Callithrix jacchus: one gene and its partner. The protein of the gene in region 1 purifies or fractionates together with the protein of each later gene. This does not show direct contact. Links are inferred from orthologs where the notes say so. Each region holds a gene or a part of one and is shown on either strand. Other genes may lie near its edges.

Region 1 (4,549 bases):
CATGCCAGGCTAACTTTTGTGTTTTTAATAGAGTCAGGTTTTCACCATATTGGCTGGGATGGTCTCAATCTTTTTACCTAATGATCCACCTGCCTTGGCCTCCCAAAGTTCTTGGATTACAGGCGTGAGCCACTGTGCCTGGCCAGAATTTGGTTTTTAATTAGATTGATTCACAGAGAACCAAACCTAAGGAATCACATCATTCATTCATTTGTTCATTTAATAAATTTGTAGGTTGAAGCATTTTACCAAGTGATGGCAATAGAAAGAAGGCCCAGGTGTGGTTTGTCAGTTTCGTGGGGACTACACAGATGAGTAAATAACTGTAATGCAGTGACAGGATCTCAACGGCCAGGAGACCCCTGCTTCTCCTCTCTTCCTGTGCCTTCTCATGTAGTTAGCTACCTTTTCTTTTCTTTTCTTTTTTCTTTTTAATGCAGATTCTGGACCCATTGCAGACTTACTAGAGGAAATTCTCTAAAGGTGAGGCAGTTTTTAAAAGACCGGATCTCTCTCTGTCTCCCATGCTGGAGTGGCCCGATCATGGCTCACTGCAGCCTCCATTTCTTGGGCTCAAGCGATCTCTGACCTTAGCCTCACTGAGTAACTGGGACTATAGACATGTGCCACCATGCCTAGCAAATTAATTAATTTTTTTATTTTGGTAGAGACGGGGGTCTTGCTGTGTTGCCCGGGCTGTTCTCAAACTCCTGGCCTGAAGTGATCCTCCTGCCTCAGCCTCCTAATGTGTTTGAATTACAGGCGAGAGCCACTGAGTCCGTCCTAGCTCCCCTTTCTGAGTTGTGCCCACTACACAAAGGTGTCAGGAACATGATATGTCTCTGCATTTCCGGCCTGGACCCCACGTTAAGCGCTCTGTTAACGTCAGTGTCTTATCAACAACACTGTGTTTTGGCTGGAAGAAACTTCTTTAAAACCAGGAAATCAGGAATCAGCATTTTTAAGTTCACCAGGTTAAATAACATTGTGTTCATATGCAAAACAAAGTTTGTGAATCAGCACCAATGCTAGCAAGCTCTGGAAGGTTTGTGATCATGAACTTTCACGAGGCCCCAAGGCAAAGAGAGACAGAAGCCCAGGACACCAGCATGGGCGGCGCTTTCCAACCAGGCGCCGCCTGGACTACATTTCCCACGATGCCCAACTGCCGGGCTCCTGCGGGATTGGCTAGAACAACGAGGAAGTGATTACGGGTCGCCCAGCAACGGGCGGAGTCCTGAAACTAGCTGCGCACGCCCCTTCCCTGCGGCTGGGAGGTTGACGAGGCTCCGTTCCATATCGGAGCACTCTCCGGCTTTACTGTCCAGCCCGGCGGCAGCGCGACCTCTTAGGCGCTTTCACCGCCTTGCTCTCCAGGCCCAGCCCCTTTGACGCCTGCAGCCGGGATACTGCGGAAACTGGAGTTTAGCTTCGTGGTCGGCGGAGTGGTCCCCGGAGGGCGCAGTGCGCAGGCGTGAGTGGTGGAGACCCGACGCGCGTGGCGCTCGTTTGGAGTCGGAGTGAGTTCCTGGGCTACCGGACTCAGCAGCGAGCGAGCGAGCGAGCGGGTCAGGTGCCTCCTCCGTCTGCCATGGCAGCGCTGCGCTACGCGGGACTGGATGACACGGACAGTGAGGACGAGCTGCCCCCGGGTTGGGAGGAGAGAACCACCAAGGACGGCTGGGTTTACTACGCCAAGTAAGGGGGCTGCAGTGGGGCCGGGGACGCACCTGGGACCCTGCACTGGCCTCGGACACCACCTGCGCGGGGAGGGCGCGCGCTCCAGCGCAGCGAGTGCGGTGCAGAGTGGAAATGACTGTTAAGCTGCTTAGGGGAAAGGGTCCAGGGTCTTTATGGGCCTCGGGTCCAGTGGGGGTCACCTGGTGGCATCCCGGCGCGCCCTCTGCTGTTCAGGAGGCAGCCCTGCGCGGAGCGGCGAGGGCAAAGTGGCCTCATCACCGCCAAAAAATAAAGACGTTTAAAGTGCACGTACTCAGCTTTCTCCTTCAGGCTCTGGGTTGCATGACTAGGAGTTTTGTTTTGTTTTCTCCAGACAAGTATCGCTGTGTCACCCAGGCTGGAGTGCAGTGGTGCCATCACGGCCCACTGCAGCATCGGTTCAGGCAATCCTCTCATCTCAGCCTCCTGAGTGGCTGGGACTACAGGCGTGCGCTACCCCCATGCCCAGCTAATTTTTAAACTTTTTTTGTAGAGACTAGGGTCGCACCTTCTTGCCCAGGCTGGTCTCGAACTCTTGGGCTCAAGCAGTTCGCCTGCCTCAGCCTCCAGAATTGAGATTACAGGTGTGTTTTTTAGCAGAAGTCCTACATAGTTTCACTACCGTTTCCTGGGAAAGTTTTGGGAACCCCAGAGAGCCTTTGTCTTTAACTGTGTGACCTTCGGCCATTGAAAGGACGTTGAATCTTAATTTTCTCACCTGTAAAATGGGTTGATATGAGGGTCAGTTCAGGCACTGTGCATAAAGCACATAGCACCGTGTCTAGTAGGCACTCTGTCCCTTAACTGTCCTGGTTGCTCTTCAGCTATGACAGTGCCTCTTGACAGCAGCACCTTAGAATCACAAGGGGAGTGTCCTAAGTACACGTTTTGGGTCTCCATAGAACCTATAGTAGCCGACTCTCAACTTTGGGAGAATGTCTGTTAAGCTTTTCAGGTAAGGTGGAATATCACTTGGTTTTCAGAAACATGGGTGTAAATCTGATTTTCAGCACCTGGGCCCCGCTCCCAGAGGGGTTTTTCTTTTTTGAGGCAGAGTCTTGCTCGGTCTCCCAGACTGGAGTGCAGTGGTGCGATCTTGGCTCACTGCAACCTCTGCATGCTGAGTTCGAGTGATCCTTGTGGCTCAGCCTCCCAAGTAGCTAGGATGACAGGCAGCTGCCACCGCGCCTGGTTAATTTTTGTGTTTTTAGTAGAGACGGGGTTTCACCATGTGGGCCAGGCTGGTCTCAAACCCCTGGTCTCAAGTGATCTGCCCACCTCGGCTTCCCAAAGTGTTGGGATTACAGGCGTGACCCACTGCGCCGGCCCAGAATTTCTGATTTAATTGGTTTGTGCCCTCCCCTCTCCCTTGGTAGGTTGTAAAACTCTTCCCTTCCAGGACATTCTAATCTGTGCAAGAATGTGAACCGCTACTACCTTTGGTGGCAAGGCAGAAGAAAAACAGTAAAGCTCTGATGAGTTCACTCACGACACACAAGGGTGTTATGTGCCGGGCCTTTTGCTGGCACTGGTTATACCAAGGCAAGTAAGAGCCAGTTGTCATCCTTGGCACCCAATCTTATAGGGCACACTGACATGTAGGGGGGATCCCCACACAGTGTGTGTCCCAGGAAGCAATGTGTCTGGCATGAGGTGTGTGTGGGTAGTTGGTGGGAACGTTAGGAAGTATAGTGACATGGTCACAGTAACCTTGACTTCCTGGGCTCAAGCGATCCTCTTCCCTCAGCCTCTCGAGTCTCCAGGACCACAGGTGTATGCCACCACGCCCAGCTAATTATTACCTGTTTTGTAGAGATGGGGTCTCACTATGTTGCCGAGGCTGGTTTGAACTTGTGGACTGAAGCCTTCCTCCCAAAGCTGTGAAATCATAGGCATGAGGCTTGGCTCCAAGCCCAGAGCAGTGTTTTGAGTACAGGTAGAAGTTGGGGGGGGACAGGAGGGCAGTCCAGGCAGAGGGAACAGTGAGAGGAGAGACCCCCAGCATGGCCTGTACAGGGACCTGTGATTTTGTTTGTTTGTTTGTTTTATTTTTTGAGATAGAGTCTAGCTCTGTCACCAGACTGGCGTGATCTCGACTCACTACAACCTCCGCTTTTAAGCGATTCTCCTGCCTCAGCCTCCCAAGTAGCTGGAACTACAGGCACGTACCACCATGCCCAGCTACTTTTTGTTTCTTAGTAGAGATGGTTTCACCATGTTGGCCAGAATGGTCTCCATCTCTTGACCTCATGATCTCCCCACCTTGCCTTCCCAAAGTGCTGGGATTACAGGTGTGAGCTGCCGCCCCCAGCTGGACTTGTGATCTTTGTGAGGTCCAGGAATGTGAAGGTTGAGGCAGGGAAGGAAGGACCCAGTTACCGGAGTTCTCTGCCTTGCTGAGAAGCTTGGCCTTTGTTGACAGAGCCAGAGTGGCATTAGGCTTGTGACTGCAGGGAGGATTTCTGGCTCTGGAGAATGACAGGGACATTTCCAGCAGCAGCAGAGAACCATTAACCGCCGCAGGGGTCAAGGCCGGCTCCTGAGCGGGCACTTGCTGTCCCTCTCACCTGTCCATCTGTGGGGGAAGGGCTCCTTTTCATCTTTCAGAGATAAGCTTACGTGTCACTGTGCAAGAGATCTTCCTGACTGTGGCTGTCCCCTCTACCTTCTACCTGTCACCTGATTTCTCTGCTGCTTTGCGCTTAGCCTTGGCTCGTCCTCCTCGTTGTTGGCTCTGTTTCCCTCACCCAGACTGCAAACTCCATGAGGGTAGCTTGTCCACCTGCGTGTCCCCAGTGCTTACCACTGGAAGCTGTAAGATGAACCCACA
Region 2 (4,239 bases), on another chromosome or scaffold:
CAGGTGAGAGGTTTGGGCTGGGGCGATGGGTTTGAGGGTGTTGTGAATCCAAAAACAGCTCTGGCAGAATACCAAACCTTTTTTTCCCCAGGTGATGACTCATGGGATCTAATCACATGTTACTGCCGAAAGCCCTTTGCAGGGCGGCCCATGATTGAGTGCAGCCTGTGTGGGACGTGGATCCACCTCTCCTGTGCTAAGATTAAGAAGACCAATGTCCCTGACTTCTTTTATTGCCAGAAATGCAAGGAACTGAGGCCAGAGGCCCGGCGGTTAGGGGGGCCTCCCAAATCTGGAGAGCCCTGACGGCGCCAACTCTAAGCTGGAACTTCCAAATGACAACTCGATTTGGGAACTGAGCCTCAGGGACCTCAGCCTATCCCCTGGAGCTTGGATACTGTCCGAACTTCAAGGCAGGAATTCCCAAAGGAGACTTGTTTGAAAATGAATGTCTCACTTTCCTACCCTCTCCTTCCTCCCCACTCTGTGGATTTGAAATTGGACCCAGTTGGGGGTGGGAGGCTGTCTGTGTCTCTAGACACTATCTCTTGTCTCTTGGACCTGCCACCATCATTTTCTGGGTCGGGATGGAATGGGACAGTTGTCTATAAAACTCTAGTGTAAATATTAGCACTTCCCTCCCTCATCTTTTCTTTATTTCACTCCCCATTTATTTTCTTCTACACCGGTTGTATTTTTAATTTTGGACTTCCCCTCTTGGGCATGGCAGCTCAAAGGTGGAGTACTAGAGCCTGGCCAAGTGACGAAGGAAAGCAGAAAGGTGACGATTCTCATTCACCTCTTTTGTTTTTAATAATATTGGCCGCTGTTTGTACAGACAGCCTGCGTGTTGTAAATAAAGCAGAGTGGGCTCTTCTGTGTTTATAGCCCTCACTGACTGTCCTGCTTGGGAGGGAGGCTTTGGAAGAGCTGGCTGAAGACTAGCCGGAGGTGGGGCTGAAAACCACCTCTCAAAGTCCAATCTGAACATGGCACGGCACTGGGCCTTTCCCACCCCAAGATACTCGAGTAAGCCACCTTAGAGCTTTCATTGTATTTGTCCCTCCCTACTATAGTCTAGGAACCCCCACAATCCCCATCTTCACTCCCTGCAACGCACACTCCGGCGGGTCAGAGTTGCTTCGCGTTCCCGCCTGGGTCGGGTAAAGCACGGTGGAAGCCGATTATCTGCTTCCTGAGGGCAGAGGCCAGCTTAGCCACGGTACACGCAGGACCTCGCCCAGGGTACCCATTTGGGGGCTGGGAGACCGTTGCTGAAGGCAGCGATCACGTGGCGGGGACGCTAGGAGGAGTCCGGCGGTCACGTGACTGATGGGGGGGTCACGTGAGGGGGCGGCTGAGCAACGCAGAGTGGGCTGGCTTGGGTCACGTGACATGAGGAGAGGTGGGCGGGAACCTGGAGGTGCTCGCAACGTCGGCGGCGATGGCGCCGGGCTACCGCTGAGACCGTGGCTTTGAGTCGCACCCAGCGGCCCGCCCCCCGCCGCCACCCTCGCCGACCCCCGCTTTCTTTCCTTTGCTTTTCTCCTGTACTAGGTCGGTCCTGTCCGCGCTCGTGCGTCCGTTTGTGTGTGTGCGCAGGCGCGGCAGGGGCCATTTGCCCGGTTGGGTGGGCGGCAGAGCCCGGGAGCGCGCGGGCGAGACCATGGCGGGCAGCAGCACTGGGGGCGGTGGGGTTGGGGAGACGAAGGTGATTTACCACCTGGATGAAGAAGAGACTCCCTACCTGGTGAAGATCCCTGTCCCTGCCGAGCGCATCACCCTCGGCGATTTCAAGAGCGTTCTGCAGCGGCCCGCGGGCGCCAAGTACTTTTTCAAGTCTATGGATCAGGATTTTGGGTGAGCGCAAGGCCTGCATAGGACCGACGGGGGCTTTGCTAGAGTGGATTGGGCGACGTGGAGAGGTACACATCTACTTTGGGCCACACTGGGAATTTCTGGCCTATGGTGGAGCAGATTGTACTATGCTGAGGTGGGTTGACTATGCCAGGATGGACAAGGTTATGCTTGGATAGATCGAGGCACACGGACAGACTAGGATATCCTAAACCAGATTAGAGAAGATTACGTTCTACTGGAATAGGTGGGGACATACTGGTTTATTTTGGAGTATTCTAGACTGTACTGAGTAAATTGATCCATTGTCTGGTCGTTTAATACGTTCTCAGGAGTCCTGCATGTTGTCCACAGGTTATTTAGTGCTATTGTGGAATCTTTTGATGTAGATAAGGCCATTTTGGATCAACTTGGGACATTCTGGCGTATACTTAGAGCAGACGGGATTTTTGGTGGGATATTCTAGTCAATACTGATGCAAAGAGTGCTCTATTGGGATGTTCTAGGTTGCCCTGGAATAGAATATTGCGGAGAAACTTATCCATGGTTGGGCGCGGTGGCTCACGCCTGTAATCCCAGCACTTTGGGAGGCCAGGGCGGGCGGAACGCGAGGTCAAGAGATCGAGAGCATCCTGGCTAACACGGTGAAACTCCCTCTCTGCTAAAAATACAAAAAATTAGTCCGATGTGGTGGCACACGCCTGTAGTCCAAGCAACTCGGGAGGCCGAGACAGGAGAATCACTTGAACCCAGGAGGCAGAGGTTGCAGTGAGCCAAGATCGTGCCACTACACTCCAGCCTGGGCGACAGAGGGAGACTCTGTCTCAAAAAAAAGAAAGAAAGAAAAAAAAAGAAGCTTGGGTTATTATGGACTCTACTGAGTTGTATTGATTAATCCTGGTTTCTCTTGGGGCAAGACGTGGTTTTATCGGAGCACTCTGTATAAGGGCAGACAAGGCTGTCGGGGCCCATGCTAGTACAGGCAGCTGTATTGGGGTATTCTAGTCTATATTGGTGCAGACAGCTGCTTGTGGGGACATTGTAGGCTGTGCTAGAATAGATTGGGCTCCTAACGTAATTTGGGACATTCAGGGATATCTTGGACTAGATGGGCTTGTAAATAATGCAGAGAAAGCCCTTTTGTGTTTATAATCTTAGGGACTGAGCCCCCTGGTCCTCACCCTCTGCTTTTTTGAAGGCAGGCTGGATTAAGTTGGGTTAGTGTGGGTTTTAAAAGGTTCTTCTGGTTGTCCGCAATATACCCTTGGACAATTTATTTAAATTTTGTCTTGATCTCATCTGTGACATGGAGAAAAAACACAGAATGAAATGCTTAGATCAGGTGTGTGGCAAACGGTAAATTCTTGGTGAATGGTAATCGTCATTATTAGTACTGAGGCTGACTATAAAGTAGGTTATGGTGATACGGAATAACTTGTCTTAGAGTGGACTGAGCTATGCTGAGATTATGTTATATTGGGAAGAATCCTGCATTATGCTGAAACAGATTGGTAGTGACTGGGCTGTGTTGGCACATTGACAGCAAGTGGATTAAGTTGGCATATATCCTGGCTCCCATAACCATATTAGGCCAAAGGGTTAATCAGACAAGGTGTCTTAATTTGGGGGCAAGGGTGTGTGTGGAAAGAGAGGAACAACTAGGGCAGAGTCTGATGATTTATATGTTGATTCATTTAGCCAACGGTATTTGTTAATGCTGAAGTGACACTTTGTGCTGTGTGGCTAGGACATGGTGTTGACCAGAATGAGTGTTCATGATGTGATGTTGTGGTCAAGAAGAAGCATTAAGTCTAGTCCACTGGGTGAACCTATTGGAGAGATGACCGCAAGGCTGGGCCTTGGGATCTGTCAGGCTGAGCAGATTGCTTCGTGCAGAATTTTGTGACAGATGAGGCACTGGGGAATGGGAAGCTTAGCTTGCCCTCTCCTTGGGAACTTTCAATCTAATCAGGAGCTTCCATTGCTTGATCTAATGGGTTTTTTTGTGATGGAGTTTCGCTCCGTCTCGCAGGCTTGAGTGCAGTAGAGTGATCTCAGCTCACTGCAACCCCTGCCTCCCAGCTTCCAGCAATTCTTCTGCCTCAGCCTCTCAAGTATCTGTGATTACAGGTGTGCGTCAGCATACCCAGCTAATTTTTGTATTTATATATATATATTTTTTTGAGATGGAGTTTTGCTGTTGTTACCCAGACTGGAGTGCAATGGCACGATCTCGGCTCACCGCAACCTCCGCCCTCTGGGTTGAAGCAATTCTCCTGCCTCAGCCTCCCGAGTAGCTGGGACTGCAGGCACGTACCACCATGCCCAGTTAATTTTTGTATTTTTAGTAGAGATGGGATTTCAGCTTGTTGACCAGGATGG

Evidence for each region.
Region 2: the proteins of WWOX (region 1) and DVL2 purify together in Homo sapiens (affinity purification with mass spectrometry; 4 studies listed by BioGRID and IntAct, counting the BioPlex papers as one, with this or other methods). This does not show direct contact. The link is inferred for Callithrix jacchus from reciprocal best matches to the Homo sapiens genes WWOX and DVL2.

What each region holds. Positions count from the first base shown.
Region 1 is NC_133521.1:35,599,572-35,604,120, forward strand, and holds the start of WWOX (WW domain-containing oxidoreductase), read left to right. Parts: upstream 1-1,463; 5' UTR 1,464-1,591; coding exon 1,592-1,698; intron 1,699-4,549. UniProt on the Homo sapiens protein: Putative oxidoreductase. Acts as a tumor suppressor and plays a role in apoptosis. Required for normal bone development. May function synergistically with p53/TP53 to control genotoxic stress-induced cell death.
Region 2 is NC_133506.1:73,724,628-73,728,866, reverse strand, and holds the start of DVL2 (segment polarity protein dishevelled homolog DVL-2), read left to right. Parts: upstream 1-1,402; 5' UTR 1,403-1,666; coding exon 1,667-1,860; intron 1,861-1,892; exon of another isoform or gene 1,893-1,985; coding exon of another isoform or gene 1,986-1,993; intron 1,994-4,239. Other genes in the region: PHF23 (PHD finger protein 23), read left to right, coding at 1-3, 92-306.